2 linked regions of the Lonchura striata genome follow. The protein of the gene in region 1 purifies or fractionates together with the protein of each later gene. This does not show direct contact. Links are inferred from orthologs where the notes say so. Each region holds a gene or a part of one and is shown in the gene's direction. Other genes may lie near its edges.

Region 1 (16,418 bases):
CGCTGCCCCCGCCCGGTCCCCGTCCCCGCGTGGGGCCGCGCTCGGCCCGGCCCGGAGGCCCCGCGGCCTCGGCCCCGCGGCTCACCAGGAGTAGGTCTGCTCCGCCATGGCTGCGGCTGGGCGGCCGGCGCTGGGCTCCGCGGGCGGCCGGGACCGGGCTCCTCCTCCGATCCTCCTCGCAGGCTCCGGGGCTCAGTGGCGGCCCCGCTGCGGCTCCCGGCCCAACATGGCGGCGGCTGTGAGGAGGGAGGGGAGCCGAGGGTGGGGGGGGTCCCCGCGCGAGCGGGAAGGGCGAGGGTGGCCGCGGGGGCCGGCGGAGGCTCAGCAGCCGCGACGCTGGGCCGCGCTAGGGCGCCGGCGGGGCCTCATGGCCGGCGGGGCGGCGGCGGCGGCGACGGCGGCGCGGGGCGGGGCGGGGGCGGGAGGCGGCGGCACCGGGCGGCCGGGCCAGGCCGCGCCGCGTGCCCGCGCTCGCGCACGGCGGGGGCGGAGCCGCGCCGAGGGGCGGGGCCCGAGCGGCGCGCGGGGTCACGTGCCCACAACAGCTTCACGTGCCGCCGCCGCCGGCCGCGCGCAGGCGCTGTGGGGCGCGGAGCCCCGGCGGAACGGCGCGGGCGGGTTCGGGGCCGGGGGGCGCGGAGCCCCGGCGGAACGGCGCGGGCGGGTTCGGGGCCGGGGCCTCCCGCGGGCAGCCGCGGCTCCCCAGGTCAGTCCCGAGCCGGGTTCCGTGCCCGCAGCTCCCCCGGGCTCGCGGCTGGGCCGGGGAGGGACCCCGGGGCGCTCCCGCCGCCCCGGCGCGGCGCTGGATGCCCGCGGAGCCCGCGCGGTCCCGGCGCTCCTCTGAGCGCGGGGTGCGCGGTAAATGCACCCTTCAGGTAAAATGATTCATACTGCGTTGTTAATTCATCAAACGCACAGGTGTTTCTAGAGATTACTTTTGGATTTGTGGACTTTGAGTAAAATCAATAGGATCAAATGCTCAAAATGTTTTGTTTTTTTTTTAGGTACGGAAAATAGCATTCCAGACACTTTGACCAAATAAAAATCATGTGTGCTTCGTTTTATCACCAGCTTGATATTAAACCTGTGCGAGTCTCATGCAGAGAAACTGCTGCGTTGATATTGGTCTGATTTCTGCTGCCAAACCCTCAGCCCTTCGTTATGTTTCTGCCGAATGCAGAACTGGTGCTTTTTGCTGGGTTTGCTTGCGTCAGTAATCCTCACCTCCTGGGAGTTCACTTGCAGCAATTTTGTGCAAGTGGGGCTTTACAGAGCTTGGATCAATTGTTCCCATCCAGCTGTGCATTCCCACTCATTGTCCCTTTCAGTGTGGGAGGGAGAACAGCCACTTTGAACATACAGTTAGAGGTGATGTAACTGCATCAAATATAAATAGAAGCACAAATGCCTGGGGATGATAAAAATAACTATTTGTTTTAAAAACAAGTATGAAGAAATTCTATGCCTCGATAGAATCTTCAAAAAAATAATGAGACACTGGGACATTCTCATTGCATCTACAGGAATGCCAGATGCCTCCGAAATTTGGAGCCCACTTTAGTAGTAGATTGAATAAATTATTTTCATGCTGTCCATCTTATTTATTCTCTTTAATGGAAAAACCTTAGGCTGCTGGATGGTCATGACAGAGGATTAAAACTAAGGAATGTCTCTGTTCATCTTTGTTGTGTCACCAGTTGCTGTGTAATCATGGGCAGATCACTTCATCCCTGCTAGCTCAGATCATTAGTCAGTGCAGAGGGAACTGCAAAGTGCTGCAGCCACCTGAAGTTTTGGGGAGCTGCAGCAGGAGGATGCTGCACACGCAACACAGGTGTACTTGGTGGAGGGAATGCCTGGGACTCCTGTGCTCCAGTTAAACATGGCTTTTATTAAGATGGTGCTGGACACGGAGGGTTTCTCCCCCTGTATCTTTATGCTTTCCAAACTAGTGATATGGGTTGTGTCACTTCAGCACCCAAATCCTCAGTGTTCTTCCCAGCCCTTTGGCCTCATGGACAGGAATGACCTTAGAGCTCCCGACATAATCAGCTCTTTACCCACTTACTAAATCTGTTTGAGAATGGGATTTATCAGCCATGAGGTGGAAATGCTCCAAGTACCTGTGCCTGACTGGGTCACGGGATCCCTGCTGGGGTCAGTCCTGGCAGCTGGGGGTGCTGGAAGGATGAGAGGGTGAGGAATGTTAAACTTTCCTCCCATCCAGTTCAGGCTGGACTAACTGGAGAAACTTCCTGCCCTGTTTGATCTCTGCCCTCGGCTTGCACCCTGTGCACAGTCCCTCTGCCCATCTGGGTAGATCGGTGAGCTTCGGTGGGCATGAGAGGAGGAGGGAGGAGTCATGCTCAGAGCTGGAACAGTGGGGTCCACAGCCCATTCTGTGAGTTTGGGGGGAAACTGCTGTTCCCACATACAGATCCCCTGTCTAAAAAACAAAAATCTTAGGTAGGGTTTGCACAGTAGATACAGTGCCTGCTTTTGTTCTCCTCAGCACAGCAGAAAGACCTGCAGAAATGCTTAGATAATAAATAAACAATTTGGAATCCTCACTCTACTCTGGTGCAAACCTGAATGCCTGGAATGCCTATTGGTGCTACCCTTTTCATTGATTATAACAGAGTAAATGTAAGAAGAAAAAAGGACCTCTCTGTCCTTTTAAATCAATGCAGAGAAAAATAAATCAGTCTTCAGCCTTGTCTTGATACTAAAGAGCCTTTCCAAATTTTCTTTTTGCTGAGAAGGATGTAAAACTGATATTGCTATCTATGAAACAATATCCCTGTTTTGTGTTCAGCTTCCAGTTTCTCAGTCTTGCAAAATTTCCAGCACATTAATTTGGCACAAATGATTTATAGCTGATGAGCAATTAAAGTATAATTTCTTTCCAGCATCTCAGGCTTTGTGACTAGACTATTAAATGATTTTGCAAGCTTGCTCTATCATTACAGGATAGCGATGTAATGAATTCACAGGAGAAATTTATTCCTCCCTGCAGACCCAGCATCTACTCTCAACTGCAAACTGGAGCACTGCTTGCATTCCTCAGATAATTTTCTCATTGTATCTTCTGTACAGTCTCTCTTTGGACCTACAAGAGAACTTTAGTCTGAATTTTAGTGACAGTTTACTGTGACATTACAAAGTCCTCCCAAAATGTCTGTTCTGCCTGGAACCTTTGATGTAGACTGATGCTTTACTTAGACCTGTCAAGGTATTTCAGAACTAGCAGCAAACAAAACTCTTTTAAAAATTATTTTTATATTTGGAAGGGCAGCTCCCAGAGGCAAGCATGGTAGGTACAGAAAAATCAGATTAAAGTACTGGCTACAGAGTCCTCACCTCCAAGCTGTTTAAATGTCAGCAGATGACATTAGCTAACCATGTCTTGATTCTGCTGTAGTGGAGGTGGAGAGAACCAGAGGAGCTTCATGTAGACACTTCACCCTTCAGGAAAGGACATGACAGGTATAGTTATCAACCCTGCTTTGTTTAGGAAGGAACAAATAGCATGGACAGGAGCAGAAAAGGAAGGAAAAAAAACCAAAAATCAAGAGATCCACTTCTGACTGTACAGCTGGGAGCTATACTAGGCTATTTACTTGTAAGATCCTTGTGGGATTCCCCTTTATAAAACCTAATTACAACGTGCAGTGACCGTGTGTGACACGATTCTCTTCACTACCACCTAGTGGGAAACCTCTTCATAACCCAGCTCCAGAGCTGCTCCTGATCTCCACCCTCACCCTCAGCGTGATGGTAGAAACAGGGAGTAAGGGGAGAGAGAAAATGACAGATGACTGGGAAGGAGGACACAGTCCTGTTTCCACATACAGGTGGAGGAATGTGTAGAGAAAGTTTGTCATTTAAATCCATTTGCCCGATGGATTTACCACATCACAACTCCAAGCCCTGCATCCAGCCCAGCCCACTGATGAAAAAACCCAGCTTCCTTCTCGGTAAAATCACATTTTCCAATTACACTCACATATTTACACCAAAGACTACTGCATTAGAATCTAAATGGGTATATACTGGAAACATTAAAACCATGTATTCAAGCAAGTCCTTCCCCACTGAGATACTCAGGGTTTGCACAAATAGCTGAAATCCAACCCTGTGATAACAAGGTATAAATAACATTTATCTCAGATTTTTCACACTCCTGTGTGCCTTTTGGGACTAAGCTCCCAATGCACAAATAATAATCGGTTTTGGGACTCATGTAGCTTTTTTTTTTCCCCAATAACAGAAATAAGGGTGAAAATTATCATAATAGCTCTCACATTTCAAGGAGGGGATTATGTTAATGTCTTTCAGGCCAGTAAAGCATTTATCAGCCACAGCAGGAAGAACAGTAAAATGGTAAAGAATTATTAAAAGAACCATTTCTCCATGTTTCATTTGCCAATGGCAATTTTACCACTCTATTCAGGGAATTATATGAGCTCCCTCTAGTAGCACTTTTATCATAAATATATTTAGACTTCTTTTTTCTTTCTCTGTGTGCTCCTTGAAGCTGCATTACACTGGCTTTGTACCAACAAATTACTGTGTTTTTCATCATGTACACTTCATAATAGATATAATTCAGTACATTAAAACATCAGAGGTAAAAATGGTGTTGATACAGGACTGAGGGTTTGGGAGTCTATTCTGCCTTCCATGAGGACTCTGCTGTCCCTCATTTGTGAGTTTGGCCTAGTGCAATAAGCAGAATACAGACCAGTAAAATAAGAATAATGTTCCTATTGTGTACCCATTCATACTTTCATGCAGTGTTTTCAGTGTTAAGTAATTCACTCACTTTATTAGATACAGGAGAGAAGAAGAGATTACTTTGGAACAGTTAATACAAAAGCAAATACTGTAAACATGAGAAAAACAAGCAGGTATCTTTTAGTGTCTTCAAACTTTAAGTTTCCCCTGTTACAAGGACCAAGATCATATTAATCAGAGTGACCTGAGAATCAAGTCATGACCTAGGATGTGGTTACAATTAAGGAAATCAACATAGAGTAAGCACTAGTAATAGATAAAAATGGGTATAGGAAACACAAGTCCCCTTATTTCAAATATTCACCCTCAAGGCATCATCCCTGAGTACAATTCAGTTTCAGGAGAACATTGTCTGATTATGGCACTCTGCAACTGAGTTCTTCCTCCAATAGAACTATAATCTATTTCCACCCTTGACCTCTGCCATTCTCTCATCAACTCAAAACTGCACTTGTAATAATCTGATAAATCTGATATTGCAATCTTTAGTGCCAGGCTATAAAATAGGGATGCTGGTTAATTCACAACAGGAATCCCTTTCAGTCTGACCCCTAGCTATTTCTACCACTTAAGAAACACTGAAAAGCTCACTGGTTTTCCTGCACTGAGGATCTGAAATACTTAGTGGGGCAGAGCCATTCACTGGCACGGCCTGGCAGGTTCCAATGAATGGAAAAATGAAAGTGGGTAAGTTTATTTAGTTGTTTGCTAATTGTCCTACAGTTTAAAATGGACAATCCCAATAGACCAAGAGAAAAAGCCTTTCAGGATAAAGTGATACAGAATATTTACCACCTCTTCAGTATTTGAAATGTTTCCTTGTCCAGCTAAGCGTTGTCCACGTGGCATCCAGTTGTGGCATTCAGGGAGGTTCCATCATACAAACAGATGTGCATTTCTGGTTTTATAGACTTCAACGTTCACTGGTCTCAAAAAAAAGCTTCTAGAGCTTAAGGTACTCAAGGCAAGCAGAAGCAGCAGCATCAGGACTTCTGGGTGCATAAGGAATCCTTGAAACCACATAACATAGACCTAATTTCTTGCTATGCTTTCTTCTCTTTACAGCTTCTATTGACAAATATTGCTGTTCTTTATTTAAACTTAATGATCTGTGTTCCCCATCACCCCTCAAACATTCAATAGGTTTTATATACCAACAGAATATGGACAATCTCAAGAACAGTGGTAATATTTTCCACCTTGGTTTATGTAAAAGAGATCACCATGCCAAAGAGAGGCAGAAATAAGTAACACAGAATGACAGCATCTCCTCTGTCACATATTGCAAGAGCTCCACAATCTGCTGTGTCTGTTTGCAAAATCCTTGAATTATAAGGACATATCATGCAGAAACCGTATGTCATGGTTGGATACTGTAATTACAATTGAAAATTACTGTTATCAGCTGGTAATGTTGTCATATCTACCTGAGGGGCGGGAATGAAGGAAAACTAATAACAAATAAAATACATGGAAATTGTATCAACGCAGTGACAGTACAATGCCAGAAATGCTCACCATTCTTTAAATACTCTTGTGATGGGTGCAAAACCAGCACAACTCTTTATTAAGAATATGACCCCAAAAAAATCTTTAGAAGCTGAAGTTGTCTTTACATTAATGCTCACATGAACATTTCTTCAAATAAATGGTTTCACATGGACTCGGAATTCTCATTCGTTTTAGCCACACAAAGCCGTCAGTATCCATTAGAGCTTTGTTAACGCCCTGCAGGGAGGGGACGCGGTGCTCTGGGCACAGACCAGATCTGAAATAAAAGGCAAGAGTTAACACAATCCCGCCCGGTGCCGGGAGGGAGGAGGGTCCCTGCAGGAACCCTGTCCTGCAGCTGCTGACTCAGGAGCCTGGAGAGCTTGGCCAGTGCTGCCCACGATGGAAAACAGGAGCCAAGGTCCTCTGCAGCACTGTCTTGGGACACTGCCCAGTCTGGGGACAGCCCTACCAGGCTCCATTTAGCTCAGGCTCCATGGGAGTGTACAGACACAGGCAGTTGTCCTGGCAAGCTTCCATTGAGACCACAGCTTTACATCCTCCAAAGGATCACTCGCATGAGACACTCGTGCATCGAGCCCACGTGTGCACATCAAGTTACTCCCTAATTTAGCCATTCAAAGTAGATAGATTCATTCATATAATTTCAGATCAGAAAAGAGAATTTAGTCAAAAAGATTCCTGGAGAATTGTTTTAAGCAATTCCAGCCAAGCCAGGGATTGTGTTTTAGGAAATCACCCAACAGGTGGGAGCAGAATCTCAGAGGAGGGCTGGTATCAAGAAGGGATGGAGGCAGATGATAAAGGGGAACCACAAGCTTGCCCAGAGCACTCATCAGAAGCAGTAGGGCAGGCTGATGATAGAACAGGGGTATGAGCATGACCCAGCACCCAGGGATATCCTTTATCAAATACATTAATCACAAGCTCAGAGGGGCAAGTCCTGCAGTCCCCCAGATTGTGTGGGAACACTGCTTCTGCTCATAGTTGAGCAATAAACACGGAAAGGTGTAGTTTTTGAACATCAAGATACCCAGCAGCCAAAGCCAGAAATGAAAATGTCACTTAAGTCTTGATGGTCTGCCACAGAAATCAGCTGGAGCTTCAGAACACCATGTGAGGTTTGGGAATGTTCACATAAAGCCAGTGGTCACTTTCCCCTCTTCTGGGGGTTGCACAAAGACCAGCGCAGCCAGTGTGGCTTTCTCTCAGCCCAAAGCCTCTGGCAGGGCCTGACACTGGCTGTACTTCACCAGTGACAGAGCTCTGAGCAGGTTCTGTGATATTCCAACAGCAGCACCTTGTCCTGAACCATGGGCAGTCAAGCACAGCTCCTCCTTTTGGGTACTCCACCTTCTTCCTTCTCCAAAATGAATGGGGCCACAAGTAAGCCATGCTTTTCCATCCCCATCTTCCTAGTTTTCTTTCCATACTCACTTTTCCATGCTGCAGATTTTTTATCCCTTCATTTTCTTCTCCTTCTGACTCCTGCTTCCCTCCCTTTCCCCCTCCCCCTGCTTTCTCTCCCTCTGCACTTTGTGAACTGCTGCGGCAGTGCTGAAGTCCAAAGTTCAGTAACTTGCTAAAGCACACAGATAAATATGAACCTTGGAGAATTTACATTTGCTCCAATGTAAACAGATAGCCAAGGGTCCCTTTATCAGCACTGGCTCAGGACAGTCGTGGGGGGTCTGAAGTGGCTCAATTTTGTATTTTGTTTTTTTTGGGGGGTGTAAAGGCGGGAGGCTGCGCTGTGCCCACTCTCCTGACAGTCGGGCGCGTTACCTCAGGAACATGGTGTAGGGAAGCTGGAAGCAGGATAACCCGAAATTCAAACCCAAGAGACACCAGGCTGAAGACCATGGTCTCGAAGCTGACTCATCTCCAAGTGGAGCTGCTGGAAGCGCTGCTGGAGTCGGGGCTGACCAAGGAGACCTTGATCAAGGCACTGAGCGAAGCGGAACCCTACGGGCTCCAGAGTGAAAGCCAGCGCGCTATCAATGCCCTCCAGAGTGAGAAAGGGGAGCCCTGTCCCGACATCCCCAACCTCCCCAACGGAATGGGGGAGCCCCGGGTATCAGAAGATGAAACCTCAGATGACGGAGAGGAATTTACCCCTCCAATAATGAAGGAGCTGGAAAACTTGAGCCCTGAGGAGGCTGCTCACCAGAAGGCTGTGGTGGAAAGACTATTACAGTAAGGACAGATTTACTGCTCCTCTTTGCTGCTTTCTTGCATTCTCCCTCTAAATCTCTTTTCCTTTCCCCTTCTCCTCAGTGTCCCTAGTATTCACAATTGATCACAATCTTCACCCAAGCCAGGACTAGCATCCCCCAAACACCCCCAAATGCTTTATAAATGCTCAGATTTTCCTTTTATCTCGCTTAAAATGCATTAAGGAAGCTATGGAGCCTGATTACATATTTGACATGCTTATAGCATCAGGCTTCAGAATAGTCCAAGGCCTGTATAGCTCTCGTCTCTTTTACTGAATTTTAAGGTTTAGGATTTAAATTTTTAATACAATTCAAAATTTCAGTCATCAGGAAGGGAAAAAAAACCAACTGGTCACTCTGAGCTGGTGCTATATTTGCATGAATGGTACAGTGAAGTTGTAATGTTTCCCAGCTGTATTTAAGGATAATTATATTGTTAATTTCACTGAGGTTTGCTATAGATTATTGGCCAAAGCCAAATCAAGAGACCCTGTCCTTGTTGTTCTTTTGAGTGTGAAGTGCCCTGACTTTGGTGGGGATTTTTCTTGTAAAAAGCACACCCCAAATACATGATGCAGAGGTTAAAACCTGGACAGAACACTCTGCTTCTACCACCCACTGCCCATCACAGTTACAAAGTACATACGCAGCAACAGTTACAGAGTTTGCTGCCACATAAAATTTGCCTTTGCATACAAGCATTTTTGAGATCAAAAGACAGGGAAAGCTCCCTGAATCAATAAGCCTCATAATAAAGTCAGAGAAGCATTCACTCAATTTCCCATTTGGGATTCTTACTGGGATACAATCCCCATGGGAGACCAAAGTTTGTCCAAGCAAGGGTCAGGCCCATCCTACCATCCATCACAACAGATTCCTGACTGCTTTAGGGCTATTTTGAAATGACAAGCTGACAGAAGACAGAGGTGCAGCAACATCCTGCACCTAAAATCTTCACAAAAAATCTAGCTGCGGAATTTCTCAGGCTTTCTGATCACTCTCTTTCACTTGCCAAGGAAACAACTGAAAATATAACAGCAGAAGCAAACATCAAATCCCACCACAAAAGGCCAGAGTTAAGAAAAGAGCATGACAAGACTTAGCATTCCCTGTAAATACTTAAAAGAAAGCTCCCTGGCAGATTGGGAGTTGAGGATTCTGCAGAACCCAAGAGAGGAAATCAGCTCTTACCTGGGTGGGAAAATATTCCCAGTAATTCTCTCTTCTTCCTGGCCCAGTATGTCTCTCATCTTCTGCACTTCCAGCTCTTCCACATCTTTAAGTTTTCTCTACTTCCTTTACATTTTTCAGATTCTTTTTACCTATCTCCCTTCTCTCCTCACTATTGTTTCTGCTGCTATTCCTCCCATTTTGTTGTGTCCTTGGCTGGTTCTCTCTCTGCCTCCCACTCTTTTTCTTCCCCTCATCCTTGTCTCCTTCTCATCCTCCTGAGTCTGCGTACAGGTCTTGGGGCAGTTTGAGCCCAGTGGCACCGGGCGGGCCCTGGCTAGTTACTAATTATCCAATGGCTTTATTATTTCTCTTTTGTCTTATAAATTTATAGATGAAAATACCTTGATAAGCTTTTTGATCATTAACTTTTGATGGTTTATCAAGTATTTCTCCAGAGAGGAAGCCATGGAAGTTGAGGAAGACCTCCCTGGCTTTGTCCCTTCTCTCTAATGAGTGGGTGAAGCAGGACTGAAGTGACATCTGCTGTGATCTAAGAACAGACACAGGGATGGAGGCAATTCCTTCCTGTCACCCTCACTTCAGCACCATTTCTGGCTTCTGATCCTCCCTGCCTTTCTAGGATCTTGCTGCCAGTCTTCCCTGTGCTTACCAGTCTCACCACAAGTCTTACCTCTCTTCCAAAGCTGTGATATTAACACTTTTTGATGTACAGTCAGACAGTGTGCTGAGCAGCATTTCCATTTCACAAATGGAAACTGAGGTACAGACAAATTCTAGGACCTACCTAAACCCCTGAGACAGCACAGAGGAGACTGGGCAAGGACAGGGATCTCCTAAGCCTCACACTGCCTCTTAATTACAAAGGCTTTACTCTGAAACAGAGATCTCTGCCATCAATCTCCCCCACCACAGGACAGAGCAATTCACTTCTGCTGTTGACAATAGGATGAAGACACCAGTAGCCTCAGTGTCAGAAAAAAATTACAAGTACACTTATGGAGGTCTAGAATAGATTTAAATTAATCAAGTTAAAATGAAAAGAGTAGGAAGCCTACACTGACATATTTCACATTTCTCATCAAATCAACAGAATGTCTAAAAATGTGTTCAAAGCACCTGAACCAGTATCAGGGCTTGATAATACCCAAGAAGTTCTTATCTACTAATACACTTTTTTGGTTTTAAGACCACACCTTTCCATTAATAGATTTAAAGTAATGTCCTTAAAATAATACTATAAGTATTGTAAAGCAGGGCAGAATAGTCTATGGTAGAAATTACTTCCAGCAATAGACAAAAGAAAGGCAGGCAAGAATCTCCATGCCCATGGATTCCCAGCAAAAGGTCAATGCTTGCAAAACTATTTCACCATCTACACAAGGGTTTCAAATGCAGAAATCAGATGGAGGCAAATCTCCCTTTAGACAGAAGCCTCTTTGGGCATTATTAACAATTCCTGGTCTGCAGACCAAATTTCAACAGACAGATTGACTTGTGGGCAGCTATTGCTGATACAGGAAAGTCTGTGGTAATTGCTTTATAAAATAGAATCAGGAAAAGTGTCCATTATTAGGCTTTCCAGGAGCTGGGAAGAGAAAAAACTGACAGCACCAAGAGACCAACTATGTCTTCACAGGACCACTGAAGCTGAAACTGGTTTGAAAAACTCTGGTCAAAGCTGAGTAGAACAAACAAGATACACTCACAGGACTGGGTGCACCCATGGGTGTTGATTAGATTTTGTCCCTGCAGAGAAAACATGCTAAAAGCAGTTCAGATAAAGGTTTCTCTAGTGGGCAATTAACATAATTTCATTTTGTCCTTTCATATGTCTCACTGATCTCCTGTAGATTTACAGTTTGAATAAAAACATTCTTTCCATATCAATCCACACACAAAACAAATTGCATCTATGATAAGAAATAAATGACTCAGTAGGGAGGTAGAGCTGTGAGGAGAAACTCCCAGACATTCCCAGAATATAAAGCAAGAAGGAGGCTACCTTGGGGGAAGGGATCATACTACTGCAGGTAAAGCAAATGAAGAGAGGTATAGTGACAATCCACCTGTAGGGCAAGGGCTGAAATTCCATTAGGAAAGAGAGAAGTTGAGATAAGCAACAGATTTCCCCTGGAAGCAGATATAAAAGCATGTTTCCCAGAAGGAAAAATGAAAACAAAGATATATAATGACAAAGGTTCAGTCTTTCCCCTGCTTAGAATGGCTCTAGTTGGGGAATCTGGAGATGAAGCTGCCACACCCCTTTCATTTCCACATATAAACCAAGATGAGGCAAACCAGGCCAAGTTCAACAGAAAGGAGCTCTGCCAGGATGGATGGTCTTACCTTCCCTCTGCCCAGCCTGGCTCCAGACTGGGCACTGAGTTGTGGAGCAGCTCCAGAGGAAAGGGCTGGGGATGGTCCTGAGCACTTCACAGCTCTGAACCTCTGCTTGAGCAGGGTCTGGTCCAAAGCAGCAATTCAGAACCCACCTCAGGGAAATGAAGGCTTCTCCCACCTGAGAATCAGAACAGGAAAGAAGGGGAGAGAGACAGAACGAGGAAGAGGAAAAGAAAGAAAAGAACAAAGGAAAAATAAGAAGTCAGGAAGAGTGAAGGAGGGAGAAGGTCCCCTGAATGTTACATCTCCAGCTCTCTGGAATGGGTTTTCTTTAATGCTAACAACTTGATATTTACTTTCCATTTAAATTTGAGATGTTGCTATAAATTATCAACCAGCCTCTTGTTCCCTTTGAGTTTATAACTAACTACCTGGGTTACTTATTGTTCAGGTAACAAAAGGGAGGTGAAAACGCCCTTAAAAAGTGACCTCAGAACTAAGAAAATGGGAAGCTGACATGGAGAGAGGACCCTGGCCCCTGTGCTGGGGATGAGCCATGGAGAAGGGCTATGCTCACATGGCAATAACCAACTGAGAGCAGGAGAACAAGACTTCAGAAGACAGAAGTAAAAGCAACCTGTGTAAGACCAACTAGGAGACAGATTACACCCTGGAGAACAAGACCCTGGGGAGACAGTTTGCTATCTGAGGAGAAAGGGAAACTAAAAGGCAGAAAATTGGAGATGATAGGGAAGGAGAGTTTGAGCAAAGCAGACCTATTTGTGCAGTTCTGACTCACTGTAACAATTGAGATTTGGCTGTAACAACAAGCAGGAGAACTCAGTTTAGAGTGAAATCCTCCCTCTGACAGTCAATGATATTCTTAAGACAGTGAAATAGAAGAGGTCTCAACTTCTGATGTCTTAGCCTGTGATGAAGGCTCTGCAGGTGGAATTGTGTATTTGAGCAAGGGTTCAGCTGGCCAGACTGTCATCACTTGGACTGTGGTGTAGCCTTGGGCCTGAAGTACTCGCTGCATTGGTTTTGCAGACTGGCCTTTGACAATGTACAGAGTAGCCAGGATTTCATACAGCTGTCCTAGGAAATCACACTACTAAGATCCCCTGCACTATTTTGTATCACAAAGCTTCCTGCTGTGTCAAAAAAAGACAAAACCCACAAGTCTTTACTGTGAGAAGAGACTCACAGAACCTACTGTTTATTCCTGCTACAAAATGAGGATCTCAACAGAGGAGACAAAACTGACTCGACTGGGGTGCAGAAAGGAACTAACACATAACAGAGGCTTCCATCAGTGACAACACAGTCTTTCCTCCTCCTATCTGAGCCAGAACTCAAATCAAAGAAGTCAGCTTCCCAGTCAGAGGCTTTTCTCCTCTATAGAGGGACTTGGACAATGAACACAGGGTGCAGGTGCTAGGCAGACTATCACAAGCACAAAGGCAGGAGACTGGTTTGGGCAGCAGAAAGAAAGAAGCAAACAAATAAAATGAACCACAAGGAAAGAAAAGATTTCTTAAATTCAGCTCAATTTGAGGTTTTTGAAAGTCAAAGATAGTTAAGGGAAGATGCTGAAAATCAGAAGCCTCTATGGCAAGTGCTCCAATGTAAAAGAGAAACTAAGGTTCTATTTTAAGCAGGTTTTCAAAAAGCTGTAACTGACACCATTTGTGTCACACTTTAACTGCTCTGGAGCTTGCTCCTTGGACTACACAGGCCCTGGGAGAGGGGCTGCAGGGGAACAGAGATAAGGGTGTTTGTACTGAGAGAACAGGTGTGGACTTTGTCCTCCTTATCACTGTGCAGCCTCCAGCAACCTCCTGAGTCAACAAAGCCATGAACAGCACAGTTGTTGCCTGTTGCTCAGACATGTGTGCTCTTGAGACAGTTTCTGCACCCTCCCAGGCACCTTTTTTCTCCCCACTGCTCCTTTGATGCTGGTGTTGAATATGACACCAGTGTCTTCCTACAGCACTGCAAACCATTTCCTCCAGACACTTCACACAGAAGGCACAGAAGGATGCTCTTGTTCAAAGTGAGCCAGGAGCTGTGCTGCAGAGGTGCTCTGGCACAGCTTGGATTTAGACTGATGTGTTTCTTTATTTCTACTGTGACTTTCAGCTGGGGTGAAATCAATACACATAAAGTCACAGTCATGTTTTCTCTATTTTCCTCAAGAACCTTAATGGGATATTCTAACTGGATATCAAAAAGCCCAGAGGATCATATTAATTATAAAATCCCAAACTGTTCCTCAGATTTTGTGAGCGGTCTTAAATAGTTCTATTCCCTCAGCTGTTACCAAAAGGAGGGCAACAGTAGGAGGAATCAGTGGTTTGCCTGTGGTTCTACATTGCATTTAGAAGCTTTGAGTAGATCTAGGTGTGAACCAATGTGTTTGAGTAACACGTAGCAGATGTGTAAAAACATAATTCTGGATGATTTGTCATATGCATACAGAGCTGCCATGTCACAGCATAATGACAGCCTGTTTTCATTTGCTGAATCATTGCAAGGCAACCCAACCTGGACCATAATCAGGGAATGAGTCAAGTTCAGTCTACTATCACAATCAATCTGTCTTGAGAAATTCAGTACATCTGCCCCATCTGCTTTAATGAGAGGGGGATAGAGAAGAAAAGTAATACAGGGAAATGGAAGAGAGAGGTTGCCTCTGTGTATTGGGAGATTCCCTGGTAAGCAAAGTCTCCTCCTAAGGGCAGACCTAAGCGTGTACAGACAGCAGTTCAAAGGAAGCCAGTGCTACATTTTTTGCACTTTATCTCCAATATGATGCAGTTTTACCCTGCACACAGAGTCAGAACTGAGCAAGGCACACTGGGGAACAGCTTTCTCCCCTGCAGGCAATGAGCGCTCTGGCCTCACCAAACGTGATGGTGATGACTGACAAGTGCCACTCAGGAGCTATTACTGCACTTCCTTGAAGTCCAGGTCTGCTGAGAGCAGGTGCTTGATCTCTCTCCCCTGAGAAAGGTTTTCTGTTCCTTCCAGAGAGGATCCCTGGCGAGTAGCAAAGATGGTGAAGTCTTACCTCCAGCAGCACAACATCCCTCAGCGTGAGGTGGTGGACACCACTGGTCTGAACCAATCCCACCTCTCACAACACCTCAACAAGGGCACTCCCATGAAGACCCAAAAACGGGCAGCCCTGTACACCTGGTATGTCCGAAAGCAGCGAGAGGTGGCCCAGCGTAAGTATGGCAACAACTGCTCTCCTGACTCAGTTTCAGAAAGGATTCTGCTTGTCCTTACTCCTTATTGTTTTCAAGGAAAAAATTCCCTTGCCCCTTTGTGCTTGCAGAATTCACACACGCTGGCCAGGGTATCCTGACAGATGAGCCCATGGGAGATGACCTGCCCACCAAGAAGGGAAGAAGAAACCGCTTTAAGTGGGGTCCTGCCTCACAACAGATCCTGTTCCAAGCCTACGAGAGGCAGAAAAACCCCAGCAAAGAAGAGAGGGAGGCACTGGTGGAAGAGTGCAACAGGTAAGGGTGGGTGTGTGTCTTTGAGGAAGAGGGGCACAGCAGAGTCCCTCTGTGTTCTTGGTGTTTGCTGGTGCCACTGTGAGGCAGGCCAAAGGTACAGCACTGGGTGGCACCACTGACACCAGCCACGCTTGAATTAAATGCCACAGCTGATCATTCTTTGTCCACAGAGCACAAGGAATGCCTCAGGACCCTTCCACACAGTGTGCCAGAGCACAGCCACTTTGGGGCTGTGCATTTACTTTGTGTCTCTGAATAAGCCCAGCTCAGCAAGGCTCTTCTTGTGCTTTTCCCAACAGGGCAGAGTGTATTCAGAGAGGCGTTTCCCCATCTCAGGCCCAGGGACTGGGCTCAAACCTGGTGACAGAGGTCAGAGTTTACAACTGGTTTGCCAATCGCAGGAAGGAGGAGGCGTTCCGGCACAAGCTGGCCATGGACACCTTCAGCGGCCCACAGCCCACCTCTGCCCCTCCTCTAACTCCCCACAGCTCTTCCTCCCTGCAGCCACCACCTGCTCTCTCACCCAGCAAAGTTCATGGTAAGAAACAACCAGAAGGAGATCTGAAAGAGATCTGAACCTCCCCAAACGCAGTCACCCAAACTGTCTCAAAGTCCAGCCCTTTAGGAAGCGAATCTACAGATAGAAAAAGCAGATTTGTACAAGGGAAGAGCAAAGGTGACAAAGAGACCATGTTTCTGGGTGAGGAGTGGCTAGAATGTCAAGGGAGATAAAATTCAGTAACAAAACCCACAGCCAAAGCTTCTCACTTACTGTGAGGCCTCCCAGGTAGCAGGCATCAACCCCAAACCCTCAGCTCCAGGAGTCATC
Region 2 (16,219 bases), on another chromosome or scaffold:
CAGTTGTACGTTCTGTTCCTCAACAAACTCGCAAGTCTGAAATTTAGCAGTCTCTCTCAGAAGATGTAACTTCTGACACGTGCAAAATGCTAATGTGAGTTCATTCACCCTCAGGATCTGTGTTTTATTGGCTGTTTTTAATCAGATAATTTTTCAACAAAAGACTGCTTTAAGTTCTTTCCTGAACTCAGCTGGGCAAGCAGTCCTCTTCAGCTGAATGTGTAACTGCAGGAGTGTCACACCTCGCTGGCAAGGAACGTGTTGCATGTCACCACTGTACCTTGGAAAAACTCCACTCCTTACCTCCTCCTGTTGATCCTGTTTGCTCCTGTCCGTTCCTCACTTGTGCATCCACTCAATGGTGCTGTGCTGTGTGTCAGGAGATAATGCAGATGTATTGCTGTTCTGCTAGTATAATTTGTATTCACGTATGCTGATGAAATAATGAAATCACCTAAGCAATTTCTGTTCATTACAGTGTTTATTAATTATATCAGATGAAATATAATCCCACTAAAAACTAATTAATGTTGTCAGTTGTGAAATGATGAACATCAAATAGAAAAGTGTTCAGAGAGCCTGCACTGTGCTGCTTGGCTCTCTGGATTTAGGAAGGAGATCAGAAGTGCACTGCTGGTATTTCCTAATTCTACTTTATTTTATATCTGACTAGAGTTTACTGGTGCCATGCAGTGAAGGGGAAAAAAAAAGAGGAGATTCAAAGTGACTAGAAATGGAATTTTCAAATACTTCTGTTCTTCTGTGTATACTCTGCAGAATACATTGTGCTTTTTTCAACACTTTTTTTTTTCCATGAGAAACACTGAAACAGCATGTTAATGCCTAAACTTTATTAGTACCAATGGGAAAACTGGCATTTTCCCCCCATAGTATGAAAACATTACTTGTAAGGTAAATTGCTTATTTTATATTATATATCATAATTCAGCTATTCATAAGCTAGGATCACTGTTGTGTGTTAACACTGTTCAGAAGACCGACATGTCAAGTTTAGGTTTTAATAATTTCTTTTAATTATCAAGTTTCTAATGTCTTATTTATACATAAATGAAATGTATTAGCTTGCTATTATTCCTTAATGATGCTATAAAGTTCACTGTTTAAGATACATATAATAACTACTATTCATTTTCTTGATTAAATTTACTTAAACTTTAAAACCAAATAATTTTGCTACTATAAAGTCTTGCACTGGACAGATTCAAGATGCTAGCATCATATTTTGGCAGAAAAAAATCAGATACCATCAGCAGCTGACTTTGGTATCAAAGATGGTATTTTTAAAATCAGCACTTAGCTTTGTCATTAAAGCAATGTTCTTTAAATCTTGGATTTTGTTTAAAGTAATCAAATTAACTAGAGCCATTAAAGATTTCTCTTCTGAATGAATATATTTTCATTTTGTCTGAAGGATCTTAATATTCAGTCAGGACACAACCAAGCCTTGTCAGTGAAAAGTGATGTATCTGTGAAGAGAATTACCTGGAATTACAATACACTGAGTAATTCAGTGAGAATTTTAACTCCCTCCCCCGTTTTGAAGAGCTTTAAAAGGCAGAGCAATGTGAAGTCATTTGTGCAATGGTTTCATTAGCTGTGGCTCTGCTGTTCTTTGTTATATGTATAATAATGTTTCACACTACCCTTAGAGTTGACAGATAAAACAGCTGATAACAATCATAAATACTTGGAACTGCAAACTTCATTTCTGATTACAAAAAGTTCATTCTTCTCTATTTTAGTGCATATATTTTAACACTGCTACATATATTTATGACTTATTATTAAGACTAGACCTTTCTCCTTGTGACTTTTTTCCGAAATAGAAGAAACTGTATTCTGAAATTTGAACCACTTTCTGTTCCTTCAATCTTTCATCATTTGCTTTTCCACAGGTTTACTTTGGGGGTAACAGTAATCTGTTAAATAACTAGTATCAGCACCCTGTCCTCTGCTGTAAAAAGCCTGATTAGATACTGTGTATGTTTTTATGTCCATGAACTTGAGCTACTCGTGTGCAATTATGTGTATGGGAATGGAGTAGTGTTCATGATCTGTATTTACATCATCATATGGATGTATATTTATTAATAAAGTTAATACTTTAAGACCTAGCTGGTTTTCCCTGTTGTTTTTTTTTAATACCTTTTAAATTCTAGTTGAAGATGCGAGTTGACAGCGTTACCTGCTTGTTACAGACATGTTACATGTATTTGCATTAAGGCAAAAAGACTGAGTTGCCAGTGTCAGGAGATAGAGGAATGTTGCTTATTTTTTAATGAATTGAAAACAATGTGACATTAACTTAATTGTACTTCTTCTTTTGCTCAAAGTGGAGAAAAGGGGAGGAAATGAGCTATAACCCTGTATAGATAAATAGTCAGCTGCTAACTTTTTCCTCTGTTGCACATGGAAATCAAACTGAAAGTACTCATAAATAAAATTTTAATGGAATGGTGGTCATAATTCATTATTCTGCCTGTATTCCAGGTATGTTTGTGCTGTGGCAGGAAGGAGATTGTTAGGATTAAATTCACAGTAAGAAATTGTTTTCAAGTTAAAATGCTGTTTTGACAAAAACATAAGGAGAAGGGGGAATGAGGCAGCTTGTTCTTTGCTAGTCTGCGCTGGTTTGGATTCTCTTTGTGTTTTTGCTTTCAGGCTTGTTCCATATCAGCTGATCTAATTAAATATTTTCCCTCTATGTGCAAACCTCATGTTTTCTATTTTTAGACTATTATGTCCTCATTATTAGTGCTTATGCAAATTTGACTTCAAAAGAAAAAGCTTCAAGCGAGAAAATGTGTGCTGTAAGGAATGACACAGTTGGAGAAGTACACCTGAGTAAAAACAAAGCTAAACGTCCAGTTTCGGTAATAAGTGACCCCCATCTTCATTTATACACAATTACTTGCTTTTTCCTGCCCTATTCCCATGTGCATGGTTCATGCTCCCCTCAGTCATGACTTATCAGTTTTTGACAGATGCAGAGCTGTGGCAAAATTTCATTGTGCACTGCTGGCAGTTTTAAGGAAGTGTGTTCAAAAAGATAGCAGCACTGGAAGTAATGTGTTCATTTTCAAAATGTCCCAAAGAGTCTTGAGGCTTCACTATTAAACTGAAATAAAGTAAAAACTAATTCTGCAACATGAAAAATACAATTTCCTATAAAGGAATATGGGAGTATTTATCTTGCCTTTCTGCTTGGGAGCTTTGGTTGATAAGCTGCTGGACAAGAACTATTTTATAGTTTGCTGCCTTTTACTCTTACCCCAGCGTGCTGTAGGTTAAGGCACAGTTTGTGTGCAGACAACTCCCAGACGGGACCGTGCTTCCTAACGAGGGTGGGAGCAGGCAAATCCTTCGCCAGGCTGTGGGAAGAGCTGGGGCTGGTACCAGAGCAGGCTTGGAGTTACAGGCATCACTGCTCAGTCGCAGCAGCCCGCCGAAGCCATGGGATGGCACTTGTTCGCTGCAAGAATTTCCGACCTGAACTGATTTAAATCAACGGTGAAATGCTTCCAGCAGCCTCAGCAGCCCGACAGCCGGCCCGGGCATCACCGTGCGGCTCAGCCCTGCAAGGCGGGGTCACAATCATGGGGTGGCTTGGGTTGGAAGGGACCTTAAAGAACATCTTGTTCCACACGCCTGCCATGGGCAGGGACACGTTGCACTATCCCAGGTTGCTCCAAGCGCCGTCCAGCCTGGCCTTGAACACTTACAGGGATGGGGCAGCCACAGCTGCTCTGGGCAGCCTGTGCCAGGGGCGCACCATGCTCGCAGTAAATTTTTTCTGAAAATAATTTCGGTAAAGATTTTTTTCCCTATTATCTAATCTAAACCATTCTTCCTTGTCACAACACGCGCTTGTAAACAGTCTTGTCCCATCCTCCCTATAAATTCCCATCAGGTACTGAGAGGCCGTAATCGGGTCACCCGAAGCCCTCTCTTTTCCGGGCTGAACGCTCCCAGCTCGGGGCTCGGCGGGGCGGCGAGAAAACTCGGTTAAAGCCACCGCGTTGTGCCCAACGGGAGCGGAGCGCAGCCCCGCTGCGCTGTCCCGCCCCACGAGCTGAGCCCTTCCCGGGGCCGTCCGGGGGCAGCGGAACTGGAAGTGTCGCGGGCTCCGGCGGAAGCGCTCGTTGTCCGGGGAGACGCGGCGGCGGCCGCGGGGCTGTGGGTGAGGATGTGGCGGCTGCTGCTGGCGCTGGCCTGGCTCGGAGCGACCCTTCCCGCAGGTGCGGCCGGGGGCTGCGGGTGCGCGGGGCGGGCGGGGCGCGGCGCTGACCCGGCCCTCCGTGCCTCTCTCCCCGCAGGAGCGGAGCGGAGCGGCGCCGAGCCGGTGCGGTACCGCACGGCCGAGATGGCGGACGCGATGCTGGGCAGCGGCGCCCTGGCCGAGCAGCCCGTGCTGCTGTCGGCGGTGCCGGCCGGGGCGAGCGGCGGCCCCGCGGGGGTTTGCGATGCGGCGGGCGATGCGTGCGGCCCGGCGGGGAGCGGCCCCGCGGCCGCCCCGGGCCGGGAGCAGCCGGTGCTGGAGGCCGTGCTGCCCGCGCCCGCTGAGGAGCAGAACGGCACCGACGGCGCCAGGGCTCCCAAGGTGAACTGCGACGAGAGGAACACGACGGGCATCGAGCGCTTCACGCTGCAGATCCTGAACGTGTCCCAGGTAGGCGGGTGGCCGCGCACTGCCCGGCGCTGGTGTGAGCGCTGAGGGTGCCCCGTCAGCTTTCAGTGCTCCACGTAGTGAATTTCCCTGTGCAACGGCTCTACCGAAGAAAATAGATGACTGGGCAAGGAGGCTTTTTGGGCCATTCTGGGCCGGAAAAAAAACTTGAGTTACGGCTCGTTTCACGTGCCTGTGTTTGTTATCTCTGTGTCTGCAGGGTACTGCCAGCTCTTTTGCTCTGTGGACTGGTGTTTCACTTGGAAATCGTTAAAGGCAATTAGTGCCAGCTCTTTTCTTGTAATGCTTATGTATATGTATATTTTTGGGCCATTCTGGGCCGGAAAAATTGAGTTACGGCTCGTTTCATGTGCCTGTGTTTGTTATCTCTGTGTCTGCAGGGTACTGCCAGCTCTTCTGCTCTGTGGACTGGTGTTTCACTTGGAAATCGTTAATGGCAATTAGTGCCAGCTCTTTTCTTGTAATGGTTATGTATATGTATATTTTTAAGTAATAAACTTTTAAAGCAACCTTTAAAAAAGGTTATATGCAATTCTCCACCTGTTTCAAAAGGTAAGGCTGCTTGATCGGTTTTGCCAAGTATGTAATCGATTGCTGAATGCTGCATCCCTACACAGAATTTAACCCTGTTAAATATGTAATTGTCCATGCTTGTTCTCATGCTTTCTCCAAGGACCTCATGGAGTTCCTGAACCCAAACAGCAGTGACTGTACATTGGTCCTGTTCTACACACCGTGGTGCCGCTTTTCTGCCAGCCTGGCACCTCATTTTAACTCTTTGCCCCGAGCATTTCCAACTCTTCGCTTCCTGGCACTGGATGCATCCCAGCACAGCAGGTAACTCACACTCCCTATGCTCTAGCTGCACTTAATTTCTGTTAGCTTTGAGTTTTAAAAACAGGAGTGACCTTTTTTCCCTATATAAACTGACAATTTTATTTAGTGAAACTGACACTTCAGTATTGTGACTGTCTTTATTTCTTCCTCCAGAAAATTTAATTTCCTTTATACTTTATTTTTTGTTTTTGTAGTTTATCAACCAGATTTGGAACAGTGGCTGTACCAAATATTCTCCTTTTCCAAGGTGCTAAACCTATGGCTAGGTTTAATCATACAGACAGAACTCTGGAAACCCTGAAAGACTTCATCTTTAACCAGACAGGTGTGTAAATCAGCCCTGGTTTGCCAGTGGGAAGAACAGACTGGCTTTAAGGTCCAAACTGGGCTTTCCTGTCCCTGTGTGTGTTTTTTAAAATGAATGTCATAAAAACCCTGAGAGGATCTAGCAGAGGTTCACTTAATCAGTTGCTGCAGTGAGCTGGATTTCAGCCTGTGCTGGGAGAAGGAACTCAGCTCCTTGGGTGCTGTCACAGAGCAGGGGGAACGCTGGGGTTTAGCTAGGGAGGCTGCCAGAAGGATGGAGTATATCCTCCTGCCCAAAGATTTAATTGAGAGTGAAATAAATTAACCTCTCTCTGCCATTCAGCTAGCTCTCTTCTAATCCACACTGAAGTGCTGTCTGGATCTGCATTTCCAGAAATGCACAAAAATGAGATTCCTGAAACATGCTAAATTAAATGTCCACCCCCACAACTTGTCCAGGGTTGTGCTGTGGGAGGACAGAACAAGCCTTCTCCCATAAAAATCACTACGTTTTTATAGCAGTAAATCATATCCTGGGCATATGTTATTGTACAAGGATAATCTCACCAAAATTTTAAGTCTACCTGTGTTTGAGCCTTAGTCTGGGAGCAGGAGCAAAGCTCAAGATAGAAGCAGCTACTCTGTATTTAGTGATTATGATGTTGACCAAGTACTTTGTTTTTTAGGGATAGAAGCCAGAAGTGATGTGGCTGTGACAGAGGAAGACTGGGAGGGGCCCCTGCCAAGTGTTCTGACGAAGGGCATAGACTGGCTGCTCCTGTTCTCGGTGCTGTTCCTGGCTGGCTTTGTCATGTACGCCACCATCCGCACCGACAGCATCCGCTGGCTCATCCCGGGGCAAGAGCACGAACATCAGGAATAACTTCAGAGGTTCAAACAGGGACAAAATTTTCCACTTATTGGTAAAGTGGGGATTTCTATGGACTAGAAGTACCTAAGAATGAACTGTTGAATTTGTTGGTTGTAATTTATAATAATGACTAAAAATTGACTTTATTTATGAACTACTGAATCTGTGACAAGAACATTTGTAGCGATTCCAGTGGTAAGTGAACAAGTATGAAAAAATATGAACTAAAGTATTTATTAAGCTGCTCTGATTTACTTATTTTTAATGGATTTTGATGTAATTAGTGTTGCAGTTCCAATTTGTAGATCAGGGAAGGTTTTTACAGCACATTGGTCTGTGTGTGGCACTACAAGGCAAACACTGGTGAAGGGAGGTGTTGGTACGTTAGTTTGACTGTCCATAAAATGAACTATGAAGATGTTTTAAATGATTTTTCACTCCCATGGAGGTGACTGTTCCCACCTCTGGCACTGGGGTTCAGTGCTGGTTTTCTCATTCACTTCACTCTGAGTTTTGACTTAGTAACAATTCTCTGTGAGATTTAGAGTCACTTCCAAGCTCACCTCACTATTCCTGTGTGTGTATACAACTTATTTACCACATTCCCGTTGGATGAAATTGTATTAATTGTCCTTTTAAAAAAAATCAATCAGGTTTTTAGTGTAACCTTTTAAGATGTATTTTTCAGAAGTAAAAACATGCAATTTCTGAACTACAGCTCACCTGCCTAAATAGCAAGACCAGCCTTGATGTTTATTTAAATTTCTAATACCATGTTTGCTAGTTCCACACTCTCCACTTGAGGCTACATAAAGAATTTATGGGTTTTTTTTAGATATGATTAGTATGGAGGGCTTTGAATAAGGTATGGGCTGGTATGTTGTGTGGGGTTTGGATTATGTGATTGCATAAAATTTATCATGGTGGAGGCTTGCCAAAGTATCCTAATAGGGTGGTTTAGAGAGCAAATTAACATAAAACAAAGATAGTCTTAAGACTTATTTTTCAACAGATAGCTCATATCCCCGCAATGTAATTAATGTAATCCCTTCATTAATTTCTCTGCTGGCTCTATCTTTTCCTCTGGAAACCAAGAGGTCATGTATATCTGTGTCCAAAAAGGAAACTGCACTGGTAAAACTTCGGTGTTATTGAAGATAAGCCTGATGGATGTTATTAATAAAGACCGTGAACGATAGATTGGAGCATTCTTGCCTTGGCCATCTGCTTCGTTTGAGAGGCCCAGGGTTGGATTGTCCCGGTGCTCACGTCCACACCGCTACCAGGGATGTTTTTACAAACAGAACGGGGCTGATTCAGTGGGGTGGGAATGACACCTGCCCGCTCACTGTGTGACAGAATCCACCCGCGGCCGGCCGCTCTCCTCCGGGGTAGGTGTCACGAATCATGGCAACATCAAGGTTAACAGAGACCTTTTAGACCGTCCAGACCAGCCCCTAAACCGCATGGCCCAGCGCCCGATCCCCGCGCCTCTGGAGCCCCTCCCGGCTGGCAACCCCACCGCCTCCCTGGGCAGCCGGAACAATGCCCGGCCGCCCCGACAGTGAAAAGGTTTTCTTTAACATCTGATCGGAATGCTCCAGTCTCAGCTTCAGGCCAGTTCCTGTCCTCTCACTGCAGGCACGGCAGAAGAGATCGGTGTCCCCCCCCCTCCTTGCAGGGCACGGCCCAGAGCGATGCGGTGCCTGAGCCTGCTCGCTCCTGGCCGGTGGCCGCTCCCCTGGCTCGCTCCCCGCGCTGCCCCCGCTGCCCCGCGGGGCGCGGCGGGGCCGGGCTGCGGCAGGGCCGGGCCCGGCGGGGCGGGTCCGGCGGGGCCGGGCTGCGGGGCGGGCCCGGCGGGGCCATGGCGGGCGGCGGGGCCGGCGGGGCGGGCTCGGCGGGCTCGGCGGGGCTGGGCTGCGGCGGGGCGGGCTCGGCGGGCTCGGCGGGGCGGGCTCGGCGGGGCGGGGCCCGGCGGGGCCATGGCGGGCGGCGGGGCGGGCCCGGCGGGCTCGGCGGGGCGGGTCTGGCGGGGCGGGCCCGGCGGGGCCATGGCGGGCGGCGGGGCCGGGCTGCGGCGGGCGCTGCTGGGAGCGCGGCGGGCGGCGGGCGGCGCCGGGAGCCCCGCGGCCATGGTGAGGGTGAGGGCGAGGGCGGACGGGCCCCTCATGGGCAGGCAGCGCGCTCGGGTCAGTCCCGGCCCTGTTCCCTCGGAACTGGGGCATTGGGATTGCTCAGCCTGGAGAGGCCGCCGGGGAGACCTGCTTGGCACCGTTCAGTATGGGGAGAGCCATGGGGAGAGCTGGAGAGGATTTTGGACGAGGGCGCGGAGGGAAAGGATAAGGGGGAATGGCTTCACACTGATAGAAGGTTAGATGGGAGATCGCGAAGACGTTCTTCCCTGTGGGAATGGTGAGACCCTGGCACTGGCTGCCCAGAGGAGCTGCGGCTGCCGCATCCCTGGAAGTGTTCATCCAGGCTGGATGGGGCTGGAGCAGCCTGCGAGAGGGGAAGGTGTCCCTGCCCATGGCAGATGGGTTTTAACATCCCTTCCAGCCCAAATCAGTCTGTGATTCTCCCGCCTCACAGCTGATTATTTTATTTTACACAAAGCTCATAGTGAACAGCAGGTGCAGGGTTCAACCCTCACCCCTCAGGCATGAGAGTTAATTCTATTTTGTTTTTAAGTTATGACTGTTTGCCTGAGCTTCCTCTGAACAAACAGTATCCATCACTCGGCCAGTCCCAGCAGCCAGCAGCCGCTGAGGGTGCGCTGGGTGCCCGCAGCTCGGATGCTCGGTCAGCCCTGGCACCCGGTGCCCGTTCCTGCTTCCCTGGGGTCTGGCCATGCCCGTGATGAGCTGCTGAGGGCTGAGCGTGGAAAAGCCATTGCAGTCTCCCACTTTATCTTCTTCCTTCCTGCATTCTGCTCCATTTCTGAACATCGTCATGTGTCAAGGGGCTGACTCAGGACGTGGCCTCCACAATGTGAAACGCGCTCAGTGTTCAGCAGGGCCTGCATAAAATGTGGTCTCAGTATCCCTATTTTTTAATAGGATCGAATTTCAATGTCTTCTCTATGGCCATGTGTCAGGTGAGGTGTCTGGAGGGCACCACAGTGTCCCCAGAGCTGGCACAGGACATCTGTGCCAGCTGGACTTTGTGTTTGGGACACCAGCAGCCCTGGACTTTGTTGTCTCAAAAAAAAAAACCTCCACCCTCATGATTTTTTTGTACATTTGCAGTCTAATTTAATCTTGTGCCAGATAAAACAGTAGATTTCAACATAGCCTTTAGCTTTGGTGATTTCTGTATATGCTTGGGGAAGAATAAAAAAGAAGAGTGTAAGAAATTTATGCCTATGACTGCAGTTATAGATAGCAATGACAAATCTGAAATTTGTGTTCTTGCAAGCTTAACATTGTGTTTGAAGTGTAATGACCCTAAACTTGTTCAGTTTGGGGCCTGTAAAACCCATCTCTTGTTACAGCTCTGTATCCCCCTAAACACAAACAATAACAGTATTGCTGTTAGATTGATTTACTCCATGTGGGGCTTTTTATCCTATGTTATTGGTGAAAATGTTGCTCTCTGGCCCTCGTGTATCTTAAGGCCTTGCTCAGGTCGCATTAATTGCGTTAATTCCTGTTCTGCTCAGACTCACAGCCCCATCTGGTGGCTCCGGGGCTCCCGCTGGAGCACCGGCTGGCAAAGGTGAAAACTCCTGAGCTGCTGAGCTGGTCCTCGCTGCCTCCCACGTCTGAGTGAACCTCTGGAGCAAAACTGCCTTTCTGGAGGATCTCACAAAGCTGAGACAGCTGCTAAAATAAAGACTAAGCCAGTCTGAATGTAGCTGGGGAGAAAGGTTCTTCCCACTGAAGCATTGCATTTATCATGAGTCAGAGACCCATCTCTCAGAATATGTGGTCTGAGGAAGGGCTCATGATCTTAGTCCCCACTTTTAGAAAAGGTATCAGACCTCTTCCGAAAGCCCCACAGAACATTCCTCTGTGTCTGGCTCTGGCCTTGTGTGTGGTTCAGCCCCTGATTCCAATATTTCAGCAGAGTGTTAATCTGTCATGTCTGTGCACCCAGTGGCATCAGGAGGACTCCTGTCACTTCAAGTAAACCATACTTAAACACTGGTGCTTTACAGAATCTAGTGCTTTTACCAGTAGCTTCAAACTTTTTGTAATCGTGTGCAGGTTCATCCATGTATTGACATTTTTTTTATTTTGATTTAGTTACAGAGCTCTTTGTTCCTTGTAGAAGTCCACAGCATGTGCTGTCTTCAAAGTCCATCCCCACTTTCTTAAAATAGTAAAATAAAAAGTAGGTAGAGTTCAAACTCCTGTTTCTCTTCTCTCTTTTGAAATAGGTATTTCCTGATATTGTTTAGCCTTATAATTGTACATTTAGCAAATAATGTAAATCATCCTTTACTTACCAGACAGAATGGAACATTTGGAAATTAAATGTGATGTTACAGCATCTGGATAATTCAGAAGACCAAGGGTACAGGTATGCTGATGTCCATCTTCATTCCTGGGAGTCTGTTGCTTTTCACTAGTTTTGTACAAAAAGCATTTGGCTGAACTTACCTGCCCAAATAGAAATGGCAGGGTTTGGCTGGTTTAGGTTAAGCTGGTCTGTGAAATTATAAATGGTAAGAAACTGTACAGTGAATTTTCCATATACTCACCTTTGCACCATATATAACCACAATTTCATAATGTGGTTTTCTTACTGATGTACAAAAGAAAACCTCAGCCTCACTTGTGCCATGCCTTTATTTTTTTTTTTCAACAGTCCTCCCAGTCTCACTGGTTGACGACAGAGGAAAGGAATCAAGTTTTACTGGATCTCAAAGCTTCAGGCTGGTCTGAGCTGGGTGAAAGAGATGCCATCTACAAGGAGTTCAATTTCAAAAATTTTAATCAGGTAATGATTGTTATATGCCACTTTTAATATAAAGGAAATGTAATTGCTTTAATTTCCATATGATCCTGATGGGAAAATATTTATATTCAGAAGTTTGGGAGTATCCTGGTGGGGCCAAATCCTCTTGGATTTGCCCTGATGAATTGCTCTCAGATTCTGATCTCATTAGGTAGAGTAAATTAATTCAATGTTGTAGTTGATAAGTAGATTTGTTCTAATGTTACAGTTTCTTGATTCTAATATTCAGGTCAGAGGCAAGGCTGGTATTGTGGAATCAGAAAAAGCAGTATTTGATCCTGAATTTTTTTTTTCCATTACTAGCACTGATAAATAAATGCTAGAAATATATAAGTGATGGGCAGTGGGGATCATTTTTGTTCAGGGAAATACGTGAAAAAAAAGAGGTAAATATAAGAAATAACAAACTTTTGGCAAGCAAGGTGGGAAAAACAGAAACATTTCACCTTCTAAACAGGAAGACAAAGTTCTAGTATATCCTTGATTGAATTGTAATAGCTATCTTTCAGTGTCTTTGGCACACAGATTGCACAGTGCTGGTTTTTATTTACCTCACTGGGTTTTTGTTTGGAAACAGGATCCTGAGTGACATCTCACACTCACAAGAACTTGTCTCAGACATTAGTTGCAAACTTGCTTTAGAAATACTGAATTTGTCTTGAGATCCCTGTTCAGCTACATTCCACTGAAAATTCCCTTCTGAGGAATCATGACATTGCTTAGAAAAAGTCACATTCCCAGAAGATGCATTTCCTTTCTGTTTTATTTCTGAGGGAGGGGTGAACTCTTTCTTGGGAGGGAAAGAATTTCCAGGGGTTTCTTGGGATGATGGGTCTCACCAAGCTGGTTCTTTCCCTCACTACAGAGGGACATGACAAGCTCCAGTTTGGGGATGCTGTGGGTTTATTGGTGTGTGCAGGGACAAAGAGCTGTGTTGTGAGCTGTTTATATGGCTGTGCCTAAACCCAGAACAAGATGTTTTAGGAAACCACAGTGAGCTGGATAAACAACAATTTGTAATGCTGACCCTTGTTTTGACTGTTTCAGTAGTTGCCATATTAAGGAAAGTTCAGGCAGTAGAGAGAAGGTGGGTGAGGTGAGCTGGGAGAAAGTAAAAGAGAAAACAACTGCAGAAAAATCCAGCTCATTAGCAGGACAGTACTGGTCTAGGGAGCATGTCCATAACCCTGAGTACATTTTTAACCTGAATGTTAATACAGAGCAAATAGAACCAAATCAGTTCATTCCAAGGGCAGTGAAGGGGAGAAGCCCATGAGAGGGAGCTCACAGGAAGCCTTGGTGAGATGTGTAAGCAGCTGGGAGCTGGAGCAACCAGGAATGTGGCAGGATAGAAGTGACCCTTGGAAGAGCAGAGATTTTCTGACTTTGAATATTCATGAAATTACATCTCTGCCTGGTTGTGGTCAAAGTCTTTGTTGATTCAGCGCAACTAGAAATGAAGTTGCCCTCAAAATTAATTAAAAAGTGTTTTTTCCCACTGTAAATTAGTAACTCAGTTTGATCAGATGGATTTAGACAGTCCCTGTCTGCCAATAGACAGGTGAGGAGACAAATCAATGTCCTGCACCAGCAGATATCTGGAAAACACATTACTTTGACAAAAATTTACAAAGTTGTATTTTTTTTTTTTTTTGACAGTGTAGACTTGTCTTACCTACCAGCTTAGGTAAATATCCATATGTCTTTCTGATTTGAAGGTGGATGGAGCACATACCAGTATAGGAAGTTGAGTATATTTAAATTACCTTGTTGGTAAATGATGAACTATATGTCAATACTTCTGGTACCCGTAGTCATGGGAAGAGTACTTTAAAGAAGTGCCACTTGAATTTTTTGGGAGATATTAGAACAGTGTCTTTCATGCTTAGCTGCTTTCATGGATGTAAGGCAGAAATAAGAGCAGAGGCTGAGAGTTGGGTTCAAAATGAAATTTCTGCCCCCAGTTGGGAGAAAAAGCCTTGCAGGTGGGTGCTCTGGGCAGCTCTGGTTGGATCAAGTGTAGATGTGAACATGTAAGGGCAGAATTTCAATGCTGATTTTTGTGGATTTACTGCATTGTCCCCTTTGCTGTTGCAGAGGGCAGAAATCATTTCTGTTCTTGTAGTCCAGGAGCAGGCTCAACATGCAGATCCCAAGGGCATTAGATCCTTAGCTGGTATTTGCCTTTCGATAAGTTGGAGCTGAAAATAAATCTAAATTATGCATGTATGCTTAAGTTTATTAAATTATGCACATATACTTGTATTTATAATGACTATCAGTAAACACCATATTTACTACAACCTAGGAAACAAATGGCAAAAGTGGAGCTATACCTGCCTTGTACTTTAGGAGAATTTCATCCTGCAATGAAAAAATGGAACTTGTAGATACAACTGCTTTCATTTAATGCAATAAATATTCTATTTACAGGATTTAAAGTGTTTAGTAAAAGTCAAAGGACTGAGAAATGTCATTTCCTCAGTGATCTTCTTCCTGCCTTTTTACAGATGGTGTAAAATCAGGTGTGGAAAAAAAATCACCCCCAAAAATGCAAAAAAAAAAGTAGTTGAGCTGACATGAAAGGTATTTCAAATTTATGTTTTGCAGATGATATTGGTATGATTAATGTATTCATTGCTTTTTTTTTTTATTGCTTCTTGCAGATAATATTCATGATGCATGGAAAATTCTGTGGCTTCAAAATCCATGCCAGGTTTACAAAGTTTGTGTATGTCAACAGATGTTAAGAATATAAACACAACTTTTATTATAAAGTTGTGCAAATGTGTAGACATGAGCTTGGTTTATGTATATTATTTTCAGCATGAGAATGAAATGAAACTTCTGTGAAACAAGAGTTATTTAGATTCCTGAAGCTTTCAGGCTGAGATTAGTTCACTTAAAAGCGGTCAGCAGTGAGCTGCCTTTGTAAGGCTGACAAGCTAATGACACTTCTGGCTCAGAGAATTAGTTTGTAACCCAGAATTTGAAAGCACTAATGGTGTTTGTTAGTCTGAGGATACATTTTCACAAAAATGGACTTCGGTGGTACAATTCTCTGAAAAAAGCTGGAAGCCAGCCTGGAGTTTCTACTGAAAGTGCTTGGTTGTTTTTGTTGCTGTGGATGCCCACCAAGCACCAGTCCTGACTGTATGTATGCTCCCAGTATGTGAGGCAGGCTCCTGGTGGGTTGGTGTTCTGCATCTTGTATAAAATAAACACAGCAGTGGTGGAGGGAAAAATGCAATTCAGCTGTAGAGGAGAGTTCTGTGTCCAGAAGAGCTGTGCTGATGGCACCAATGCCTCTCTTCCTCCATATGCCACTGAACTATTGCCACTGTGGAGTGGCAGGTAGGCTGTGATGAGTTAACACTGCAGTCTTTTACCTTCAGGACCCTCGATGGGGTGCACTTACTCAAAGCCCTTGGGCTGAGTCCCTTTTCCAAAGGAACTTGTTCTTGGCTGAAACCTTTGGCTGTGAGTGAGGTTTTGGAGAGGAGGTGGGCTTGGAGCACTCCATGGCAAGTCTGAATTCCTGCTGTGCATCTGTGCTCATGAGCCTCTACACACCTCACAGCCACATCAGGGAGCTTCTTTGGGGCCTCTCTCCCAGGCTGCAGGGCAGAGAAGAGTGGCTGGTGAGGATTTCAGGCCATCGTCCAGCACCATGAAGTGATGTTGTCATCCATTCAGATCTTTGTGCTACTGAAACAAAATGGTTTTCTTCCAGTGGAGCAAGCCCTCTGCTTCCAGTCTGCTCAAACAAAATTGGGAACTGGGATAGAAAGTTAGTTTATGCCTTCAGGTCATGCTGGTAACTTCTCCCAGCATTTCAGGTCAGTTCACCTTGGGAGCAGTGATCTGGAAGAAGGGACAGGTCTGGTTTAAAGATGTGAATTTCTCCCAGTTTCACCTCAAGCCCACTCCTGGCCTGGGTGGGCAGCTGCAAAAGGCTGTGAGTGCAGGGTGCCAAGTGCTCAGTTTGGGTCCTGTATCCAGCTGCTCATTTTCCCTGAATTTGCAGGAACATCTTAGCTCTGAGACTTCCATGTCTCTTGTCAAACTTGGTTGGATTTGACCAGAGGGTTTAAGGGGCAACTGCCTGTGTGATTGCGTTTCCGTAGGTAATCACACCAAGGCAGCAAATGCAGTTAGGAAATTACAAAGGTGGGCAAGTTTGCTGATGGTCAGGTTCAGAATTTACAGCTGCTTTCTTTTATAGGGTAAGTTTTTAATTAAGTTTGTTTTTTTTAAAAAAAAAGATTCTGTAGGAAGTCTCCATAAGACCTCTAACGTCATTTTCTAAAATGACAGGAAATCAAATGCTCTAAGAGTTTTAAAGCTATTTCAGATACATTTTTTGTCTTTTGGGGGAAGAGGGTGAAGGTGGAAGATGAGTCTGAGTGGAGGGGACAATACAGAAATGCTATGCACTAAGATTAGAGGCATATGTGTCTCAGTGCAATTTGTGTCTTGGGTTTTGAGAACATATTTAAAGATGTGCTGTAAAAAATCTAGGTGTATTAAATAAGTTA

What was found.
Region 2: the proteins of HNF1A (region 1) and PCBD2 purify together in Homo sapiens (affinity purification with mass spectrometry; 4 studies listed by BioGRID and IntAct, with this or other methods). This does not show direct contact. The link is inferred for Lonchura striata from reciprocal best matches to the Homo sapiens genes HNF1A and PCBD2.

What each region holds. Positions count from the first base shown.
Region 1 is NC_134620.1:4,607,371-4,623,788, reverse strand, and holds the start of HNF1A (hepatocyte nuclear factor 1-alpha), read left to right. Parts: upstream 1-7,965; 5' UTR 7,966-8,170; coding exon 8,171-8,505; intron 8,506-15,092; coding exon 15,093-15,292; intron 15,293-15,402; coding exon 15,403-15,589; intron 15,590-15,888; coding exon 15,889-16,127; intron 16,128-16,418. Other genes in the region: SPPL3 (signal peptide peptidase-like 3), read right to left, coding at 86-108. UniProt on the Homo sapiens protein: Transcriptional activator that regulates the tissue specific expression of multiple genes, especially in pancreatic islet cells and in liver. Binds to the inverted palindrome 5'-GTTAATNATTAAC-3'.
Region 2 is NC_134617.1:9,284,587-9,300,805, reverse strand, and holds the start of PCBD2 (pterin-4-alpha-carbinolamine dehydratase 2), read left to right. Parts: upstream 1-8,854; coding exon 8,855-8,857; intron 8,858-11,172; exon of another isoform or gene 11,173-11,243; intron 11,244-11,531; coding exon 11,532-11,663; intron 11,664-14,102; exon of another isoform or gene 14,103-14,267; intron 14,268-16,219. Other genes in the region: TXNDC15 (thioredoxin domain-containing protein 15), read left to right, coding at 4,208-4,259, 4,338-4,690, 5,382-5,545, 5,740-5,870, 6,538-6,734.